Rhinolophus ferrumequinum: one gene and its partner. The protein of the gene in region 1 binds, or shares a complex with, the protein of each later gene. Links are inferred from orthologs where the notes say so. Each region holds a gene or a part of one and is shown in the gene's direction. Other genes may lie near its edges.

Region 1 (10,649 bases):
GGTTGGACTTTTTTCCGTATGTGAAGTTATTCTTGTCTATCTTAGGCACCTTCTCCTCAGCCTCGACTGCCTGCTTTCCAGTTTTTTCTTTGTGGGGAGCAACTAGATAAAAATCTCAAAGTCTATGGTCTTCACATGTTCACTTCAAATTAGATTGCTCACACAGAACATCTAGAACAGGTTCAATTTTCAGATTTGTTTTGGAGTAAATTTAAAGAAGTTTCCACTTTTGTTAGGACTACAAAATACAGGAACAAAAGAAAATTAATTAGGAATTTATGCATAGTAGTGTCTGTTTACAAAATATATATGTGTTGAAAAGTCCTTATAATATATATGTGTATATGTGTATATAATGTTAAGCCTAACACTAATATTCTTTCATATATTTATATATATTTATGTTAGTAATATATAATAGATGTAACACATATAATACATATAACTATAGTATGTATTATGTATTATATACATAGTAATAATATAAATGTAAATAGTTAAATAGGAATATTTTTAATAAAAAAGCCGAAACCAAAAGTAGGCTCCAGAATTACATGGAAAATAATCTCAATTGTATATAAAAAAAAATGCACAAGAAAATAAAAACTGGAGAAATTATCCAAAAATTTTAACTGTGGGTCTTTGGTGGTAGAATTATGAGTGATTTTTTTCTTTTTCTTTTCCTTCACTTTCCAAATAGTCTGGAATACACATGCATTAGTATTATGGTGAGAAAAATGGTTAGTTACCCCAAAAAGCATCATTAGGAACAAATGGGTGTGATATAGACTGAAGAACAAAATGTTGCAAAGTGTTTTTTCTCCATATGTGATACTATACTGTTATTCATGCCTCCAGTTTCTATATAACTTTACAATTTATAAAATGCTTTTATTTAAATCATTTTCTTTCAGTTCTCACACAACTCTAAATGTATACTTTTATTAATACCATAGTTCTTTTTGTACTTGATCACAACTGAAAAATAGTGTCCAGAGAGATTGGGAGTTAATTGGCAGAAATATGCAGTAGGGAGGGGGTGGGGAGCTGGCTCAGGAACCCAGTGATTGACAGGGGGCGCGACTCTCCTAGGAGAGGCACGTGCAGTCGTGTTAACGTTCCATGTGTTCTTCTCTGTTCCTTTCTCTCTTCTAGCAGGTGGCCACGCAGGCTACAGCCAAGAACCGCTCTTCCCAGTTTGGTGTGGGCAGCTTTCAGACTCCGTCCTCCTTTAGCCCCATATCCCTCCCCGGTGCTCCCACCGCGTCACCTGGCGCTGCTGCTTACCCTGGTCTCACCAGTCGTGGGTCCAGCTTTGGTGAGTTCAGACCAGAAGGAGGTAACAAGAAAATCACATCCCTAAAGAGAAAGAGTTTGGTAGTTTAATACAACAGTTTGCTTGTGTCCTGGATGCACTGAGCTAATTGTGGAGAAATGCAAGATGACAGTCCATCTGGAATTTAAAACCTAGCCACATGAAAATGACTTTCACACGTATAACAAAAAGCATGGAGGTATACAAATTTCATAATAGGTGAATTTAATCTAACATGAGCAAAGAACTCTTTGGAAAGGCCACCTAGAGAAGAAAAATTAGCTTAGGCTGGGTTTTAAAAGAGGCATTGACTGGCAGAGAGAAGGGAGGACGGTTCCAGGTGAAATGAATCACTTGCATGTTATGTCTAGGTTTTCCTCTCCACTGGAGTTAGACTGAAGTTTCTTCCTCCTCATAGCTCCTGAGCAGCCTGGGCAGACCGCAGGACAGTTCCAGACACGGACAGCAGAGGGGGTGGGAGTCTGGCCACAGTGGCAGGGCCAGCAGCCTCACCATCGGTCCAGCTCTAATGAACAACACGTTCAACAGCCGTCAACACAGCAACCCGGCCAGCCTGAGGTCTTCCAGGTGAGAGGATGAGAAGAGCTCCGAAAATCAGGAACTGGGAGAGAAAGGGTCAGGGAGGAGAGACAGAGAGGAAGCATGCATGGAGCGGGCGTGACTGGGGTGTGGGGGAAGCCGGAGTGGGAACAGTGGCAGAAATGTCATTAATTGGAAAGACTGTGAACTTAGTGTGATGCACAGCCTCTAACGAGACCACTTGCGAAGACATGGAATTAGTTTTAGCCCATTCCCACTGTACAGTAGCTTGTGTATAATAAACGTACTGATTCTAAAGGTCCATTTACATACATCCTGAGGGGACTGCAAGACTGAATGGAATAATCTTAGCACAAAGGAAGAGATAGTTTAAAGCACAGGTTGAAAGATGGCAAAATGAGTTTTGGTAGAAAACAAATAGGATGAAAGATACTCCGTAAGTACCTCTAGGGGGTTACATGAAATGTGGCAGGCAGATTTTTCTCCTTTTGAAAGTACTGAGGACTAGAAAAGGGGGAAAATGTGGGACTGTAGGAGGAAGGCAGAAGGGACTAGGAGAAAAGGTTGTCATCGCCAGGAGTCAGACTCGCCGGGAGGAAAGAGGGCTGAGCAGGAGCTCTGGGCCAGGGATGGGGGCGCAGGCATGTGGGGAGGAGCTCGGCACACGGAAGGGATCCCGGGGTGTGACCCAGACTTGCTCTTCTCTTTTCAGGAGATGCTGTCCATGCTGGGAGACCAGGGCAGCAGCTACAACAGCGAGGAGTTTCCTGATCTCACTATGTTTCCCTCCTTCTCAGAATAGAACTATTGGGGTGAGGATAAGGGGTGGGGGAAAAAAGTCACCGTTTGTTTTTCAAAAGCAACTCTTTTTGTAAACAAAATAAAAGTTCCTCTCCCTTCCCTTCCCTCACCCCTAAGGTGTACCCCCTTTCACTTCTGGCCTTCCCCTTTCCGTCCCGCCTCTCTGAGAGACTTTGTAGATGACATGGGGTTGAATCCTCTAGACTTGGGGGACCCTCTGAGAAACTGAGGCTGGGTGAGGTTAGGAATGCCTTGCCTAGGTCTCATGACCAGGGATCTGTGCAGAAATGATTGTGCTAAGGTCAAGGGCAGGTTCGAGAACTTGACGTCCACCGTTTGCCTTGGATTCTATGGTTCGTTTTTGGAAAGAAATTCTGACTAAGGTGGGGAAAAGGAGAACTGTCCTCGTATGTGAGGACATGAAACGTGGTAGGTGTATGTGGGGCTTTAGGACGGGAGCAAATTTTCTTTCTGCTGCTTGTGAGCAATTACTCTGGAAAGAAACTGAATGAGGAAGCAAGAGAGGAGAGAAAGTGTGTCTGTGTGTGGTGTGTGTGTGTGTGTCTGTGTGTGTGTCTTTCTCCCTATTAGGGAGTTATGCAAAATTTGTCCCAGATTTTATCTTTGTTTTTCTCTGTTTTTTCAAAGAGTCCTAAGGAGTTAAATCTTCCAGGTATTTTCCACTTAGTATTGCAGCCAAAGAGTATTTCAATAAATGATTTTGCTGCACTTCCATCGATATCCAGCCAATATGCAACTGTAAGCAGATATGTAAAGTCTTCTGTTGATCTGTTTGGTCTCATCAAGCATATTTAGTGATAAAGCTGGGTCATTCCCGCTTTTGGTGCTCTCGCCTTATATGGAAGATCTGCAAACTACGGAAATAGGCTGGCAAGAGAAACATTTTCAGAAATCCCCTACTTGGTCATAAGGATAATGCTGCATATTTCTGTCAGAATCACCTGTGGGTGTTCTGTGGAGGTTATTTCTGCATGGAAACTCAACTTCTTGGATTAGCTGGCCCAGTGAAAACACTGCTGGAGTTTATACCAAATACCAAGCCTTGCAAAGTGGCCTCTTCATCCCATTCTCAGAGTATCCAGTCTGGCAAGAAATTGAGACTTAGGTCTCTTCTGGGCCTGTAGTTCTTTCCTCTTTGCTCCCTCTCCAGTCTTGATATTGGATGTGCTTGATGGCGCAAGTGTCATAAACCATGTGCTAGATGGGGCCTGGCCGCCCATCCCGACAGGGTCACTTAGTCACTAACTACAGCCATATCAGTGGGGGCACAGCTTCCTACTGTCACCCGTCGTCCTCAGGTAACAGTCATGTGTATCAGCCTTTTTTTCTTCATTGGCTCAGGCCAGTATCTTCAATGCAGGACTGAATTAATAAGGAGAAGACATTAAATGTAGCCATAGTGGACTAAGGAGCACGGGTGGCCTGCAGAGGCTGAGATGTCACTACGGGCTTTCCCTCCCTTTGTCTCCAGTCTGGTGCCAGGCCGTGGAGTGGGAAAGGAGACAGTTTATTTTTTTATTCTATGTGCACACATACAGTATACATATATATTTATATCACAGTGTAAGAAACCAAAAAGTTGAGTTTCCAATGAAATCCTTGTTTTTTTAATAATCACCTGTTTTTAAATGTGATCCGGACTATAATATTGTACAGTTATTACAGGGCTTCTGGAGCGGGGAGGGAGAAGATGCTCTGGGGGGCTTTTTTTCTGCTTTTCCTTCAGGGTTTTATTTTTGATTGTTTTGTTTTGTTCCTGTTGGCCTTTGTACAGTGGCAAAAATAATGACATGTAGCAAGTATTGTAAAACAAAATATTTTTTCCTTTTGTAAGCTTTGTGTTGTGTCATCTTGATTGCGACTTTATTATTCCTTTCCAGCTCATAAACAACAAACACCCACAACTAGTTGAATCCATAGCCTGAGCTCCAAATATATAAACATAAAACACAGTGTGTCTATAATTTCAGGAATCAGGCATCACAGGGCTCACTCAGCATTCCTTGGTTGTCCTCCTGACCCTGACTCATTCTGAGTAAAATCAGTCGGGACATCTGACCATGGGGTGGGGGTGGGGATTACCTGAATCCTTGGGAGAGCGGAGGAGAATTGGGATTTGAGATCAGCAGTGGCCATCTGGATTCCTTCCTCCAGGAGGTCCTCCTCTCTGGCTGAAAAGGAATTAGGGACGGGGAAATCGACACTGTTCAGGTCCGGACCTGGCAATCCTCTGGGACCATATAGTTCATCAGCACACCTTCAAACCCAGAGGCAGAGAACTGCGTTCTTGAGGAATACGTGTGTAATCCTGCCAGAAACTGAATCCAGAGCCCATGTATTCCTGCTCCAAGGACCCTCTTTTCCTCTTGCCCCACATCTGGTTATGGAAGAAAATGGAGTTTGGGGGTGTGGTTTGGGGACTGAGCTAGACTCATGATCTGTCACATGCCTGGGTGTTGGGGGAAGTATGTGGGAAGTATGTGGAGAAGCTCAGATGACCTGGGCTGGGGGTTTTAGTAACAGCCAGGCACTCTTCATCAGGCATCCCACCACCTGAGAGCTTAGTAAGGGATGTCACGTGTGAGCTTGTCAGTGCTTATGCCATTGATTCATGTGCTGTCAGAAATTCCCAGGAATACTGCTTTGGGTTACTTTTAGAACCGGTTTCATCTGGACCTTCTGGGCACATGCTTCCTCAGCAAAACCATGTTTGGCTGGGAGAGCTAATACCCTCCATGAAGCAGCAACGACTTAGCCAACAAGCTTATAAAATACAGATGCTTTTGGAACCTCTGACTTCCCTTACGACTCTTTCCTAGCCTTCTGTGTTTATTCCCTCTCCTCTGGTGGGAACGTCAGAGACAAATACAAAACAAGTTTCAAAGAGACGGTGATGGAAAGATCAGGAAAACATGTGATCCCCCAATATAATTAATAAAGAAGGATGGGGGAGACCAGAAGTGTGTCCCTCTAGCTACTAAAGAGAAGATAATCCCCAACTTAAGTAATGTAATTTGGGGGATTTTTTTTTTTTTACTATTTTTTGGTCTGCCCTCAGAAAGAGGCAATGTGAAACTGAAAAAAAAGCAACCCTCCATGCAGAAACATGCAAATCCACTACCTCCTCCTCTCCCCCGTGCCCCCTTCTCAGCATTTCTACCCTCCCTTCTTTCCCATCCAATTTTTCCGACCAACAGCTGGAGCTGACTTCCGCAATTCCAATGGAATAAATCCAGCACCCCTAGTCATCCGCTCACATTATCCACAGTTCCCTGCAGAAACGAGCCCAGAGAACAGATCCCAGCCAGCAGGTAACGTTTTTTCGACTTCCTAGTACATTTAGCTTTTCGTTCCTGCCAATTCTGCATCGTAGAAGTGTTAGGGGTGTAGTGACTTGGGGTTCAAAAGGCTGCGTGGATGAAAATGATGCCCTTAGGTCATTTCCTGGCCGTATACAATCTGCCTGGAAATTTTTAGGATTTCTTCTAAAGCATTTGTGATTTGTATGTATACGTGGTTACTAGTGAAAGCCAAGAGTACAGGGGATCCTTTACCCATCCTTCAAAGGGGGACCTCTTTGTGGGGTTTTCTGTTTTGGCCAAAGGTACGAAAAGGGTTAACTTGTGGTGGGGGGAGGTGGAGTGGTGCAGGGAGACGGTAGCTCAGTACTTCCTAATCTGTGACGTCTCAAAGCCCCTAACAATCCAAATAGTAAATGTCCTGCTGGTTATTTGCCAGTTTGCAAAGAGCACACAAAAATGGACTATAAATTCAAAAGTTATGCAAGACTATAAATTGTTCTTAAAATGGAGGGCACATAAGTAAGCCACTGCAAGAAGTGAGCGACGCTAGACCAAACTTCTATAAAGCTGTGTATTTAATGGTCATAGAACGTTGCTTTTCTGTCTTATGTTCTTTTAACAAACTTTGGTTCTGAGGCTTTTTGGCCTGGGAGGCGGTCACAGAGATTTTTTGTTGTCAGAGAAAAAAAAACCACCAAAAACCTTCCCACAGCAGCTGGTCGAGATTAGGACAGTTTCCTGCCTGAGGAGGGAACCAGAAGAGAAAGAAGAACTGCTAAGAATGTTGAGGAAACAGGAAATCCATTCTCTCAGTTAGAAAATAGGAAATATGGTCAACTTTGCCCTTGTCGACTCCTGCTAAGCTCTGGAAAAGTGAAAGAATTTAGCCACTGAAGAGAAGAATGCCTGACAGAAGTGGTCAGGGTGCAGAACTTAGCTGGAAATCTCTCCTCTGTGTGTTCTCCAACCTCCTTCATCCCCCTTGCACTTACCTTGTCCGTCTCTTCCAAGGCTGCTGGGGGCACCGAGACAAATGCTGAGCCCATGCTGATGGTCCATTTTCTACCCTGTTTCTAGTTGTCTGTGGAAGTTGTGTGTGTGTGTGTGTGTGTGTGTGTGTGTGTGCGTGCGTGCACGCACGCGCGAGTGCCCTGAGTCTCCCTAGGTCAAATGACTAGGAACCAGGTATATCAGCACCCCATCCAATCCCAGACCCCTCCTGACCACCACTGTTCTCTGTCTACCTTCCTCATAAAGCCTCATACAGCAGAGGAAGGGGTTCTGCACTTCAGGTTCTGGAACTCCCCAGAATGACTGTGTGTGCATGCATTTTTCTGGTGAGAGGGTTTATAGTGGGTTGCAAAACTATTAGCTTCTCAGAGGAGTCTATGGCTCCCAAAGGTGAAGAACCACCTGTCTGGGACTATGTCTCCAGGTAGCTATCTCCTCATCCTAAGCCAGGCTAGGAACTCCTTGGCAAATAGAAGAGTCTCCTCTAATTGTCCTCTTCCCAGGATGTGGGGGCTCAAGGTTCTTCTGCTGCTGCCCCTGGCGAGCTTTGCTCTAACCCCCGAGGAGATACTGGACACGCAATGGGAGCTGTGGAAGAAGACCTACAGGAGGCAGTATAATAGCAAGGTGCCGAGGACCCGGAGGGGAGCACTGAGGGGGGGAACCCTGAGACCTCCAGGCTCCCTGCTTCTGTCCAAATACTTTCACCACCCCAGCCAAGCAACCCTGCCCCCGTCCCCTAACTGTTAACATGTGGTTTTCATTCCTACGCCTCGACTTACCCTCCATCAAGTCCTATCCTTCCTTTTTGTTACAACTGCCTTCTCTCTTTCCTTTGGGACGATTTCTCAGATGAATGCTGATAATCCATAAGCAACTTTTCTATCCATCTCTCCAGAGCTTTGCATTCAATTATTTGTTCATGTTTCTTTTTGCACGCTCTTAATAATCCCGTGGTCATTTGCCCAACTAGACGGTAAACTCTATCCCTGGAACTTGAATCTTTTCTCCTAAAAACCTCCACAGTATTACATCATGTGACTTTGTATACCGCACGCAGTGTAGGCCAGTACTGACTGTGGTCTCTTTAGGTGGATGAAACCTCTCGGCGTTTAATTTGGGAAAAAAACCTGAAGCACATTTCCATCCATAACCTTGAGGCCTCCCTTGGCGTCCATAGCTATGAACTGGCCATGAACCACTTGGGGGACATGGTGAGTTGAGCCTCCACACCTGGCTTACCTGCCCTGTTGGCCTCAGGTCGCTGCTTAGGCCTGGCCTCTTTCTTCTTTGTCCCAGACCAGTGAAGAGGTGGTTCAGCAGATGACTGGACTCAAAGTACCCCCATCTCGTTCCCGCAGTAACGACACCCTCTACATCCCAGACTGGGAAGGCAAAGTCCCAGCTTCGATCGATTATCGAAAGAAGGGATACGTCACTCCCGTCAAAAACCAGGTACCCTCCAGTCTCCTGGGTGTGGGTAGGTAAACTGGCACGGTCTCTTCCTTCGCTGCTGCTTTGTTCTTAAGGTACGGGGGCCCCAGGAAGAGGGGGCAAGGAATGACGGTACCTCTCCCCATGCTAAGAGAATATAGCCTATTCCATTATTTACGTAACTCATCTCCAGCTTTGTACATGTAGGTTGTTTATGCATTTTCTTTTTTACAAATAGTGGTGCTATAAGCACCTTTGTGCAAAGGTACAAATATTTATGCAAAATAAATCCCCAAATTAAAATCGCTAGGTCACAGAGCCTCCTTTCCAAAAAAGGTTTTACACTCTGACATTCTTACCAGCATGAGAATGCCAGTTTTCCCATGGCCTTCACAACGTTGATTGTATCAACCAGATGAACTACTGATTTAACACTCATTCAACAAAAACTGTTTCCCCCCCCCCCAGAATCTACCAGGTGTAGTGCTAGCCAGTAGAGATTCAAGACAACAAGTCATAATCTGTGTCTTCAAGAACTCTTCAATCTTAAAAAATAGAACAGGAAAGAAAAATCTATACTCTAGCTGAACAAACCCTAATAATAGCTTGCACTTTTTAAGAGATTATTATGTGTCAGAAATTTATAAATCCTTGACATGAATTAATTTTTTAATCCCATTAAGTATATTATTATCCACATTTTACAGGTAAGGAAACTGAGGCACAGAGAGGTATAGTAACTTACCCAAGGCCACATGGGTAAGGAAGGGGTTGCAAAGGCAGTATTCTCTGCTTCACTACAGTGAATGGTAACAACAGTAGTAATCGTTACCAGCGCAAGGACAATGCAACAAATGTTAAATGAAGAACAACCAAGGGGACGTGTGTGCTGGAGTTTCGAAACTGTCTGGAACTTCATCACCCAGGTAGAGGGAAGAAACAAAAAGTGGCACCTGCAGTGACTGACAGTTTCTCTGTTCCGCCTCTCAGGGTCAGTGTGGCTCCTGCTGGGCGTTTAGCTCTGTGGGTGCCCTGGAGGGCCAGCTCAAGAAGAAAACTGGCGAACTCTTAAATCTGAGTCCCCAGAACCTGGTGGATTGTGTGTCTGAGAATGATGGCTGCGGAGGGGGCTACATGACCAACGCCTTCCAGTACGTGCAAAAGAACCGGGGCATCGACTCTGAAGATGCCTACCCGTATGTGGGACAGGTGAGACTGTCCCCACACTTACACAGCTCTGTCATGGCTCCTCCTTCCCCTCCTGTTATGCACTGGAGACAATTCTAGAAATCGCGTTTGCTATTAACTTATCCTACTTTCTCCATGGGATAAGTGCCCACAGAAGGCCAGGAAGGTTCCCACAGTCTGGAGGAGCTTAGGCTGCCAGAGGCGATCTGCTTCTCTGCCCTGGAGAGAAAACAGAGGACAGGTTATTCCACAGATCTCTGAGCAGGTTTCTGGAAGCCTCAGCTCCTCCGTTCCCATCCCAAATCCCAAACCCACCATGCTAACTTCATGAATCTTACTGCGGATCTGGAGCTCACTGAAGCAAATTGTCTAAGTTAACATGCAAACATATACAAAAGGAGAGAGAAACAAGTTGCTTCATATTTGTTGTAATTTTAGAGATCAACTCACTTCCTCCTATAAGATCATTTAGCAACAGGAAGGAGGTCTGTCTTACCCAAAAGAATGAAGATCTGAGGGCTTTTTACTGTACCTGGGGCTGACAGATAATATAATAGGGGGCCTTTGTAGCAGGCATCTTTGAAACAGGAACAGCAAGTTTTAGTAATAAGAATGATGGCTGTGTTGTGCTAAGCTGTGTGCTTCGTGCATTTTCTCATGTAATCCTCATGGCAGCCCTGTAAAGTAGACTTAGCCTCACTTTGTAAGTGAGGGAATTGACACTTAAGGAGATGAAACAGCATACTCAAATTCATGCCACTAGTTGTGCAGCAGAGCCAAAATTTATCTGTGAGATCTGTTTATCTGCTGCAAGCATTGCCAAGCGTGTCTTCTGTGCACAAGTGCAAGAATGTCTTTACTAGAATATAATACCATGGGACAGAATCGACCGACTCTTAGGGTACGTGCATCTTCAGCTTTACCAGATAATGTCAAATGGTTTACCAAAAGGTTTGGAAAAATGTATATTCCCACGGGCAGTGTGTAAGAAATCCCATCGAGTCACATCTTCATCA
Region 2 (10,913 bases), on another chromosome or scaffold:
CTGCCACTGGCACCTTTCCCGGTTTGTGGTACCAGGCCTTTATGGCAGTGCTTGGGGTCCCTTGTATAGTTTCAACATATAAGAGAACAGGGGACCCCATAATAGGCCATAGTGAGAGCACATAGGTTCCCCGAAAATCATCCCGGTAAACTGCTCTCTGAGGTTCTGTCCCCACAGCCACTGTGCTCTGTCTTGCCTCTTTCTACAAGGGCTGTTGACAGGCTTTCCAGTGAGTATCACAATTTCATAATGTTATGGCATCAATCCATATTGTTTTGCCAATGTTGGCACATTGTGTAGAAGCATCCCCTTGTCTCCCTGGGTTGAGCGGTGGGCAGAGGGAGATGGAGGAGGGGTGTGTATATGGACTTCGGAGCTTGACCTCTGAAAATCCTATTTATCTCATAAGAGAGGCTCCCAGTCCTTCCATGTTAATATGCCACTAAAACCCATGACTTGCTCAGTCTAAGCTTTTATTGTGGACACCAAGTTTTAATTGCTCAAAGTCCAAATGTTCAGAATCTCAACCGTTGGTCAAGTTGATGTGACCACTTGCCCCTTTAGGTGAAGTTTTATGTGCTTGATCATTTACTTATTATTGTATCACTTAAAATATAGTATTATTTGTTTATCACAGAGAACGTCTGTCACCCTCCCACCTAACGTCCCGCTCTACTAACTCAGATCATGAGTTCACAAGTCACATACACAGCCTTGTGGGAACATGGTCTTCTCTTCATGTGACAGAAGGAAACACGCTCATCTCCTGGGCAGATGTGCTCCATCCTCCATGGTGCATGGGTGCCGGAGGCCCCATGACTCAATCCTGAGTTCACTGTTTCTCTCTGGTCTCTGCTAGCTGATCCATGAAGCTCTAGGCTACAGATTGGGGTGTGGGCCATTCCAACATTTTAAACCGAGTTTACACATCACCACTGGGGCTTGCTCATTTCTGTCCATTCCGAACCCCAGATACTACAGTTAACAAAATAGCTCACCTCTCCAGATTTGTTACATTCCTCCAAGGTCAGAGCAGATGTCAGCCTCATCCTAGCCTTGAACTTAATAGACCGTACTGCAGTTTGCTCTGGTAGCTCCCATGGACACCCTATATTGGGATTACTTTAGTTATTTTATCAGGACAACTTCATCTCCATGAGTACGTGCCAGCATCCCAATGGAGGATCATGATAGGTAGTATAATCAAAATACAGCAGCAGTGTCACAATTCAAGCCACCCCCCAACACACAGCTACCACCATGCTCCAGTGACTTGGGTGCTCTGTACCTCCTTTCTAATGACACAAGAAGGAAGGATCCCTTATATCTCAGCTTATCCTCTGCACAACTTACCTTCCTCAGACTGGAGCCCCATTTACTCAGCATGGGTGGGGAAACCACATGAGAACCAATTTCCACCCTTTGGAGATAATCACTCTGATCAGAAGTATCTGGCCAGGGGCAACCCTCCCTTTCCCTTCTGTGTTTATCTCCCCTTCTTTTCTATTTCAGTAAGAAAGCATTGAAGACCTCCTCTCCCTCACCACACTGCCAGTGCATCCCTGCTGCATATAGTGGGGCACTACAACCTTTCTAGAGGCTCCCAACTCACAGTGGAGTCAGGGGTGAAGGGGAGCAGATACACCACCCCAAGACCCAGCAGGCTAAGGAAAAACTTACTTCTTCCCTAATTGCCTAATAGAATTTGGTTAGGGGCCTGCACCAGAATCTCTCTGTGTGGCAGGGCAAACCTCTGATTAGCAAAATCTGCTCTTTCCATCTTTCTGTGAGTTGCCCTCTTCCCCTTTGAAGCCCCAGGCCCCTCTCCCGTTCTTTAGCTCAGGATGGCATGGAAGCCTCAATTGCCTTTGAGTCTCATATTTTTATAGGGCTCCTACATGTACAAAAGTAAATTTGCTTTTCTCCTGTTAATCTGTCTACGTCAAATTAATCATTGGACCAGCCAAAGAACCTAGAAGGGAAGGAAGGAAAATTTTTAATTACACCCCTACATCTGTAACTATGCATCAAGAAACAGGCTCTCATACCCTAACACTGAACATGAATGTCCATCATTGATATTGCTCTGGCATCCTCTATTCCTGATGCTCCTGCCCTAGGACCACAGTGGGTCTGGGCTGATGCTGACTGACCATTGCTTCCACTGCTCCTAAGAGAGTCCTTCTGAGTGTGCTTCAAGGGTCTGGAGGCCTCCTGGTGTTTCTGACAAAACCTATCACTTTCACCATAGGTCATTTGCCACAGGGTCACCTTCAGGTGTGGAGGGTGGGGATTCGAGAAGAAAGGCAGCCAACTGTCTGTTCAGAATGGCCTTTCTCCCTCTCCACTCCCAGGGCAGTATTTGAGCCCAGGCCTGCACAGTCCTGAGCTAAGGACTCTGTTAGCCCACGTGGCACCTGGCTGACCATGTTGTCTCAGACCAGGGAGAAAGAGAACAAACAGTTAAAGGACAGCTCAAAAATGATGCTGATTGAAAGCAGCCAGACACACATGTGCTAACACCATGTGATTCCATTTACAGAAAGTACAAAAATAGGCAAAACTCCAAATTGACAGGGACAGGTGTGTGCATTGCCAAGAGCCAGAGGTGGGCATGGGACTGACTACAGAAGCATGAGGCAGCTTTCCGGGGTAATGGAAATGTTCTAGACCTTGATGGAGTGGTGATACTCGTGTACACATCTACCAAAATTCTTCAGTCTAGACACCTAAAATGGAGTGTTTTAGTTTATGTACATTATACCTCATTCTAGGTGATTTTTTTTTTTAAACATGGAGAATGTTTTCCAAGCGATGGACTCAGCACCAGAGCCAGTAATGTGGCTCCCCGAGGGGAGAAGCAAGAGCAGCCCATGTGCTTTGGCATACATTCCGTCCGCTGCCTGCTCCCTTCACTGTGTCCCTCCCACCTACCCTCTGCAGCGTCCTGGAATGGGTCTCTCTGCACCTTCTCCCCCGGCCCCCATCAACAGTTTATTGTCCACACAGCTGCTGGTTGAGATTCCGGGTCATATCCCTTCCCTGCTTAAATACCCTCCAGTGGCTTTCTGTTCCTAGAAAGGTGATCCCAGCCCCATCTCAGGGCCTTTGCACTGGCTGTTCTCTCTACCTGAAGCTCTCTTTCCCTGGTCTCGGCAGAACTTCTTGTCCTTTACATGTCAGCTTATAGGTGTCTTCTCAAACAAGCCTCCCTCACCTATGACCAGTGACACCCATCTTTCTCTTTCACCACTTCTATTTTACCTCCAACAAAATCCCTATCTTAATTATTGATCACTGCCCTGCACCCCCACACACATACACATAGAAACATCCTAAAACTGGGCTGTGCAATACCACAGCCACCCGCCACACTTGGCCATGGAGAACTTAAAATGAGGACCGTCTGAATTGACAACTGCTCTAAGTGTAGAATACACATACAGGATTCCATAGAGTTAGCGGACACAGAAGAAAGTAAAATAACTATTAACAGTTGCTTATACATGTTTAAATAATATTTTAGATATACTGGGTTTGAAAATATTATACAAACTGAGTCACTTCAAAATGGTGTCAAAGCTGCCATCCCAGAGGAGCTACCTTGAAGGTCTTACCCCTCAAACCTGTGGACTGTTAATACTGGGCAAAATAATCTTTGGACTATGCCTATAGCAGCACTGTATTCGAGCCAACTGTTTGCAAAGTTAACAGGTGCCAACCAAAGGTCATCGATGCCAATTGAATGCCAACAGGAGTCCTCAATTTGGGGTGCGGTGATGGGAGAGAGACTTTATTCAGTGAAAACAGCTCAATTGTGATATAGCATAGCTGAGGAGCAGCAGGGTGGTGAAACAACTCAGGAGAGGTAGCCAAGGTGAGGCAGCCTCGGTGCTAAGGCTCCATTGTCACAGTTCTGCTCTGTTGTTGCAGCTCCAGCTGGGGAAACACACTCTTACACGGATACTCAATTGTGTGCTCCAACAAGACAGAGGTGCAGGTGGCTTATACGAAGAAGAATGCCTGCCACCAGTCCCTGATTGGTCCATTGCCAGGCAAATAAGGGCTCCAAACATCACAGTTTGATTGATCCAAATAGCACTGACCTGATTGGTCAGAATGGAGCAACTCAGATCAGTTAGTAAAGATACAAATAAGGGTATAGCTGCCCAGCTTGATTGGACAGGGAAAGTCTCAGATCTATTGGTTGAATTCCAATCCCAGGTGCTCTATTATAAGGGTTGATTCATAATGTAGAAGCACAGTGCACAGGCTGACAGCTCAGCCTGTAGCTTTCATTTGATATACAGCGTGTATAAGAGGCTTCTGCCACAATGGCTGCTAGACTCCAGTTTTGAATTGGGCCCAATTAACCACAAGGAATCCTTCTTGGCAGGTATTTTCTTTTTTGGGATCAAAACAGGGGAGCACAAAGGTAAATTCAAGTCTTATTTAGGGCTACCTAGAACGAGCATAACTAAGTTGTTTTAAAGACCGTATCCAATCAGACTGTCTCCCCCTCATTTTACTGTTAAATTGTGATTTCAAATGGTATAAAATTGAAAACAAAAACAAAAACTTGTGTTATTGTCACTGTAAATAAGACTTAACCTTCATACCTCACAATGTGAATTCCCTTGGGCTAAGATTTCATTTATGTGTATACTACCACAGTGCCATGCTGATAAGGATAGTCAATAGATAACTATATGATAATAATTGATAAGTAATTTTCCTGATGACTTTTCTGTCTTCAAAAAAAATTTAAAAACAGAATAATTTTTTATCTAGACATAGATCTCTATCAAATATACATTAGACGTTAATAAGAGTGTTATCATATATACTGTAGTACAATTGCAATTGCTTTATTCCTACTTCACATTTTTACTAAATGTCAACCTAGCATTGTAATTTAAAATTATTTTTCTTCTAATACATTTAATTTTTCCATATATTAACATAAGTTAAACTTATCATTTGACTGTAATAAAAATATCTGAACCAATTTCTGTTTGCAAAAAACAAACAAGAAACAGGGAAGCAGAGGTTATGACTAGAACTGAAAATCAAAGACAGTCTTTAGAATAAGCATCACTATATTAGCTTATCTGCATCTGTAGAAATTCCTTTCTTAGCTTATTAACACCCATAGAAATTTCTTCCTTCTAGTCAAATAACTCCCCTTCCTTTTATCATAAATACCTCTTGCCTTTACTGTCTAATAGGAACACTATTTGAGGTTTCTGCCTAAAACAGTGCTTCTAGAATAGCTATTCTTTTGGAGCACAAATCAATACTTGTTGCCTCTCACCTTGATTTTTTTTTTAGGTTAATATATCAAATAAAAAATCTGAAATCTACTGTCACATGTTTCTTTTTACTTTCCTCAATGTGTCTACTAGAAAATGGAAAGTTACACATGGGTTCGCATTTCGTCTCTATATGGCAGCCCCTCTACAATGCCAAGTCCAGGGATCACTTGCCCACTTGTCACCTACATACTGATTCTATACTTCCTGGCCAGGGAGAAGCCCAAGAAAGCTTTGTTGGTTGAAAAAATAAATGAATTGTGAAAAAGAGAACCTGAATTTTTTACCAAATAGAAGGTAATCAATTCACTTATTTTTGGCAAAGACATTCCCCAGTACAAAGTACTGACGGGGTCTTCCCCAGCCTTTGAAGTCCTATGCCTACTCTGGCGACCCCTAGAATTCGACCAGCTGCTCACAGGACAAGACAGCTATTTTTCCCTTGTAAAAGAAGGGATTAGACTTCAGGGGTTACAAGGCTTTCAGAGGGGTGACACCTATGAAACTAGGGTGAGCTGGGCTTGGGAGCACACTAGAGGAAGTCTGGGGCTGGTGGGGAGCAGCTGGAATGGATCAGGGTAGGAAGAAGGCCAGGACTGAGTGGAAGGGGCAGGGCTTAGGGGAGGGAAACGCTGCGTGGAGAGAGGTGGGATTCTAGCCGGAGGGCCAGGACTGAGAGGAAGGAGCTGGGTGGAGGGGCAACTTAGAGAAGTGGAAAGGCCCTGGCAGGAGAAGCGGGACCACGGGACTGGAAAGGCGGAGGGCCCAAGGGGAGCGCAGATCTAGGTGAGGGGGATGGGACGAGGCGGAAAAGGAGGAGCCGGGGGGCGGGGCAATAGGGCGGGCCCGGGGAAATAAAAGCCTAGGCCCGGGGTTGGTGCTCGCGGCCTTCCGATCGTGCCCCTGGGCTTCTGTCTTCCTGACCTAGCTCGCGTCTCCTCCAATCCAACCATGGCCGGGTCCCTGCGCACCCCGCTGCTCCTGCTGGCTGCACTGACCCTGGCCCTAGCACTGGCTATGAGCCCCACGGTCGGCGCGAGCCCCAGCAAGCTTCACCGAGTGGGCGGCCTGCTGGATGCGGACGTGAACGAGGAGGGCGTGCAGCAGGCTCTCAACTTCGCCCTGAGTGAGTACAACAAGGCAAGCAACGACGCCTTCCACAGCCGCGCCATGCGGGTGGTACGCGCCCAAAAGCAGGTGAGTCCCAGGGGTAGGGTGCGGGGGCAGCTGGGCAGGTAGGGCCACCGGGATGCGGGATCCTGCGCCCCGGGAGGGCGTGGCCTTCTTGACGTCACCAGCCGCGCTCCTGTCGGTCCCCCTTGCTAAAGGATGACCCTCCAAGCCCCTGGAGGCCCTGCAGATGGGCCAAGACACACATGCCCAGGCTTCTGAGCCAGTCAGACTTTTCCAGGTCTTTCCTGTCGCCCATGCCAGATCCCGGACTCCTCTGTTTGCTGACAAGCCCCTCGCAAACTTGTCACTAGGAGTGCCAGTGGGTCCCAGGTACTCCTGGTTAGTGCTCTGCCCTTCATTTCTGTTTTAAAGCATCAGCCCCAACAAGAAGGACTTGGGTTAGGGTCAGGGCTCCTGTCCAACCCGCTTAGTCCCGACCCCAGCGTCATAGGACTGGGGGCTCAGTGTGAGCTCACAACTAAATGACCACAGGCAAAGGAAAAACAGACCTCACAGGCAGCCTGGCTGCCTTCCTGGCTTTGCCATTTGAATGATTTTTTTTAAGCACTAGTTTCCTTTTTATGTTTTCTTCTGGCATAATATGAGACTTACAGAGCAGTTGCAAAATTAGCACATAGAATCCCTATAGATCCTTCACTCTCAAATGTTAAAATTTTGCCCTGTTTGCTTTATCTGCCTCCCTCCTTCCCCACGTGTGCATGGGTACATATATGCATTTATTTCTCTGAACCTTTTGAGAGTATATTTTCCTAAAAACAAGGGCATTTCTTACGTAATCACAGTACCAGTTTGAAAATCAGGAATCAACACTGACACAATTATCTAATGCACAGACCTTATTCAGATGTCCCTGATTGTCCCACCAATGTCCTTTATGGCCAAGGACACTCCAGAGTCATGTGCTGCAGCCTCTTTTACCCTGGAGCAGCCTGTGTGTCTGTTTCGTGACCTTGGCATTTGTGAAGGGTCCAGCCAGTCCCTGCAGATTGGCACTCAGTTTGGGTTGGCCTGCAGTTTTTCAGGATGAGATACCAGTCATGCAGAAGTGTGTTCTTCTCCAAGTCTCCTCTCAGCAGGTGCCACTAAACCGACCTCCAGGTCCTCCATTTGCCATGATATTTTGGGCCAGCAGGCACTCCAAACATCCTCCCTGCGGCGGAGCCCTCATTGATCCCCTGCTCACCCTGAGGATATCAGCAAACACAGAGGCTTCCAGAATCTGGCCTGTGGTATCCAGGTAGATGCCACAGCAGAGGGTCTTACATAAGAATCCAAAGCTGCCTAGAGATCTTGGAGGACAGGCCCCTAGAGCTGCTTCATTCTGCAGGTCATACCCATGGAATAGGCTCTGGACTGTAAAGTCTCACTCCCCACCCTGAAATGGGTGCCCCACCCCCAGCAACCTGGGGCAGTTAAGTGCCTGCTGGGATAGAGAGGACCACACCTGACCCTGCCTCTACCAGCCTGTCCTGAGGTTCTGGGCAGAAAAGGAGGGCAGTCATCAGGGTCCAGAAGAGGAAGGGAGGGAGCGTTAGGAAGGGCTACTGGGCCTTGTGCTTGTCCTTGAAGGAAGGCTAGAATTTAGACCAGCTGGCCTGCCTCCCAGTGGGGAGCAGAACATAGTCATATAGCAACAAAGTATGGTGCTTCATGCCAGCGTTCATGGCCCTTATCCGCCTCTTGAAACTTCAGACAGTGGGTCAAGATCTGTTTTGATGCAGGAGACCCATTTCTCCTGCAGCTGTCGGCTGACACTATCCCCTTTGGATGGGACATGCATGCCCTGCTCACGAGGTCCCCACCAGCCTGCTCCCCTCCAGTGTGACACTAGCTTGGTGGCACAGGTCACCAGCCCATGTGGAAAACTGACACCAGAGGGATCACAGGACTTGCTTGGGGTCCACTCTGCAGAGCTTAGGCTCTTCTTCCCAAGGTTATCTGAGTTTTCAGGAGGTGTGTCTGGAGGATGCCTATGTGAGAACAGGCTTCACTTCTGTCATCTCAAATGTGTGTAATCATAAGGTGTGATACACTTCAGAAATGTTCCCGTTACAAACAGTTCTTAACAGCCATCTTTTATGGGCCCAAAAATCCGTGTGTGTGTGTGTGTGTGTGTGTGTGTGTGTGTGTGTAAAACCTGGTACATGAAATAGGCGTCTCGATGGGCTCCACTCTACTAACTGGACTGTAGCTTCAAGGTCATTATCATGTGAATTTTCCTGAGGTGGATCCAGCCTTGACTCAGGCAGAGCTGTCACTTTGTCTTAGTCTCTGACTTGGATCCTGATGCTGGCACAGCTGACACCCTGGCTGATTCTCCATAGATGCACCTTCAGCTCCAGGGCCCAGTTAACAAAATTTTAGTGTCTGGCTTCCACCTTCCATTTTCCTGCGTGTCTTCCCATGAGGCTGTGTGGCACACCTTGTCAGAGCTGCACTGTCAACAAGTTACAAGGAGGGCCTGGAGCACAGTGGTTGGGCAGCAGTCAGGACGGGCCAGGTACCTCCTGGGTGCCAGCTCTGGCAGCCATTGATGCTGGCCTGAAGTGCAATAGCATGAAGGTAACTGTGCCTGTGTCACATGGGCAGGTACTGAAAACCATACCTACTCTTCCTGTGCGTAGGTCGTGGCTGGGATGAACTACTTCTTGGACGTAGAGATCGGCCGAACCACGTGTACCAAGTCCCAGCCCAATTTGGCCAGCTGCCCCTTCCATGACCAGCCACGCCTGATGAAGGTATGGGCCTGAGGTGGGCGAGGGGCCAGGCATGCAGGGCAGAGCGGTGGGTGTGTGTCGGTTGGACGTGTCATGAGTGAGTGTTCTGGCTTGGGGGGATGTGTGAATGTTGGGGGGTGTGGCGGGGATGGTGAGTGATGTGCAGATGCCTAATTTGAATTTATAAGCCAGTCTGAGCTGGGGCCTTGGGGCCCCATGTGGCAGGATTGTTGCCCGCTGGATGGAGTAATCAGTGGGGCAGAAAGGGCGCTTTAATCCCATCCTCAGCCACTGGAACAGATTAGAGGGAATGAGAGGCCTGTAAGGGGAGAGACCCTTCCACGCTGTCCTGTTCACAGAACAGCAGCCTGTCACTGGGCTTGGCTGGTTATTTGGAGCTCTTAGCCTCTGGGGAGAGCTCCGCCCTCTTGTTACCTGCCTAAATACCTGCCACTTTCGGGGCGGATTCCAGGACCGGGCTCTGTTCTTCTGGACCTGTCTTAGTTCTGGCTCCCTGCAGGTGGAAGAACTAGCTCTTGGCTGTGTGGCCTTGCATGGGCTGCTGCTTAAATGGCTGTGCTGGGGTTAGGCAGTGTGGAATCCGGTGGGGGAGGGGTGTGCGGCATGCCACCTCCTGTACTTGGAGTGATGGGAGGGGTGACCCGCAGGCCACCGTTGAGTCCTGTTTAGTAGTCTGGGGCTGGGCGGGGGAGGGGCTGAGAGTCCCAGCCAACAGCCACAGTTCTTCACCTGCATGTCTGAGATCTCCTGTTGGACGATTTCCTTTTCTGCTATAACCCTAACTGACCGTCCCTCTGTGTTCCCTCTGCAGAAAGCATTCTGCTCTTTCCAGATATACAGCGTTCCCTGGCTGAGCAAGATCTCCATGGTGAAGTCCAGCTGCCAGGACGCATAGAAGACAAATGACAAGCTGGGCCACACTGACTGCGTCTCATTTGCACCCCCCTCCCAGTAGAGTTCCTAAGCTTTAGATGGGTGAGCCCACCTTGGTGGAGTCCCCTCAGTGTACTGGCCCCAGGAGACAAATAGAGAAAGCTTCTTGAGCATTGTTTGGATAGCTAAGTGGCTCTAACTTGTTTATTTCTTTTAATTGCTTTCCAGATGCACCTGTCCCTGGTGCACACATTCTGCTCCTACTCTAAGCAATAAAAATGAACATTGCTGCTCCTTGAGTTGTTCACTGTCTTGGGGACGTGCCTGAAGGGTTTGGACAGTAACTGTATGAAGAGCTCCTTGTCCTGCTGGCTCTGGAGGCCAGAGGAGGGGACCAGAGCTGACGCATAGGTCCACAGGCCACTGGGCGTTTCAGGGGAATGTGCTGCCCCTTTCCAATGCCTGAGTGTGGAGGGGGCTGGGAAGCCAGGCCTCTGGTCGTCACCACAACCACATAAGAAAGGGGAGGGGCCCTAGACTGCTGGCTCTGGAGACATGGCTGCTGCATCTGAAAAGGACTCAGACAGTGAGCAGGCCTGCACCGGCGGAAGGGGTCAGATGGAGCCCATGACCCATGACCTCCCTCAGCAGCTTTCTGCAGGGCCATAGGTTTCAGCCAGGTGTGCTGAGCTGGTCAGACCCCTGGGACTGATGTGTCTGGTCAGGTTCCCTAGAGACTAAAGAAATAATGCTTTAGGTCTACTTTTTCCCACAAGACTTTAGACACCAGCGAGGA

What was found.
Region 2: the proteins of CTSK (region 1) and cystatin-C are in contact, whole or in part, in a crystal structure (PDB 8V57), measured with the Mus musculus proteins. The link is inferred for Rhinolophus ferrumequinum from reciprocal best matches to the Homo sapiens genes CTSK and CST3. Residues at the interface, in NP_031828.2 of Mus musculus: Asn132, Gln133, Gly134, Gln135, Cys136, Gly137, Cys139, Trp140, Glu173, Asn174, Tyr175, Cys177, Gly178, Gly179, Gly180, Tyr181, Met182, Ser248, Ala251, Ser252, Gln257, Phe258, Val274, Asn275, His276, Ala277, Ser297, Trp298, Ser301, Trp302; in NP_034106.2 of Mus musculus: Pro27, Arg28, Met29, Leu30, Gly31, Ala32, Pro33, Gln75, Leu76, Val77, Ala78, Val80, Asn81, Tyr122, Pro125, Trp126, Lys127, Thr133.

What each region holds. Positions count from the first base shown.
Region 1 is NC_046305.1:50,974,987-50,985,635, reverse strand, and holds the start of CTSK (cathepsin K), read left to right. Parts: upstream 1-5,854; 5' UTR 5,855-6,009; intron 6,010-7,514; 5' UTR 7,515-7,515; coding exon 7,516-7,638; intron 7,639-8,102; coding exon 8,103-8,225; intron 8,226-8,310; coding exon 8,311-8,466; intron 8,467-9,435; coding exon 9,436-9,654; intron 9,655-10,649. Other genes in the region: ARNT (aryl hydrocarbon receptor nuclear translocator), read left to right, coding at 1,156-1,318, 1,734-1,903, 2,589-2,678. UniProt on the Homo sapiens protein: Thiol protease involved in osteoclastic bone resorption and may participate partially in the disorder of bone remodeling. Displays potent endoprotease activity against fibrinogen at acid pH. May play an important role in extracellular matrix degradation.
Region 2 is NC_046306.1:44,116,378-44,127,290, reverse strand, and holds cystatin-C, read left to right. Parts: upstream 1-6,147; 5' UTR 6,148-6,263; coding exon 6,264-6,509; intron 6,510-9,130; coding exon 9,131-9,244; intron 9,245-10,055; coding exon 10,056-10,139; 3' UTR 10,140-10,411; downstream 10,412-10,913. UniProt on the Homo sapiens protein: As an inhibitor of cysteine proteinases, this protein is thought to serve an important physiological role as a local regulator of this enzyme activity.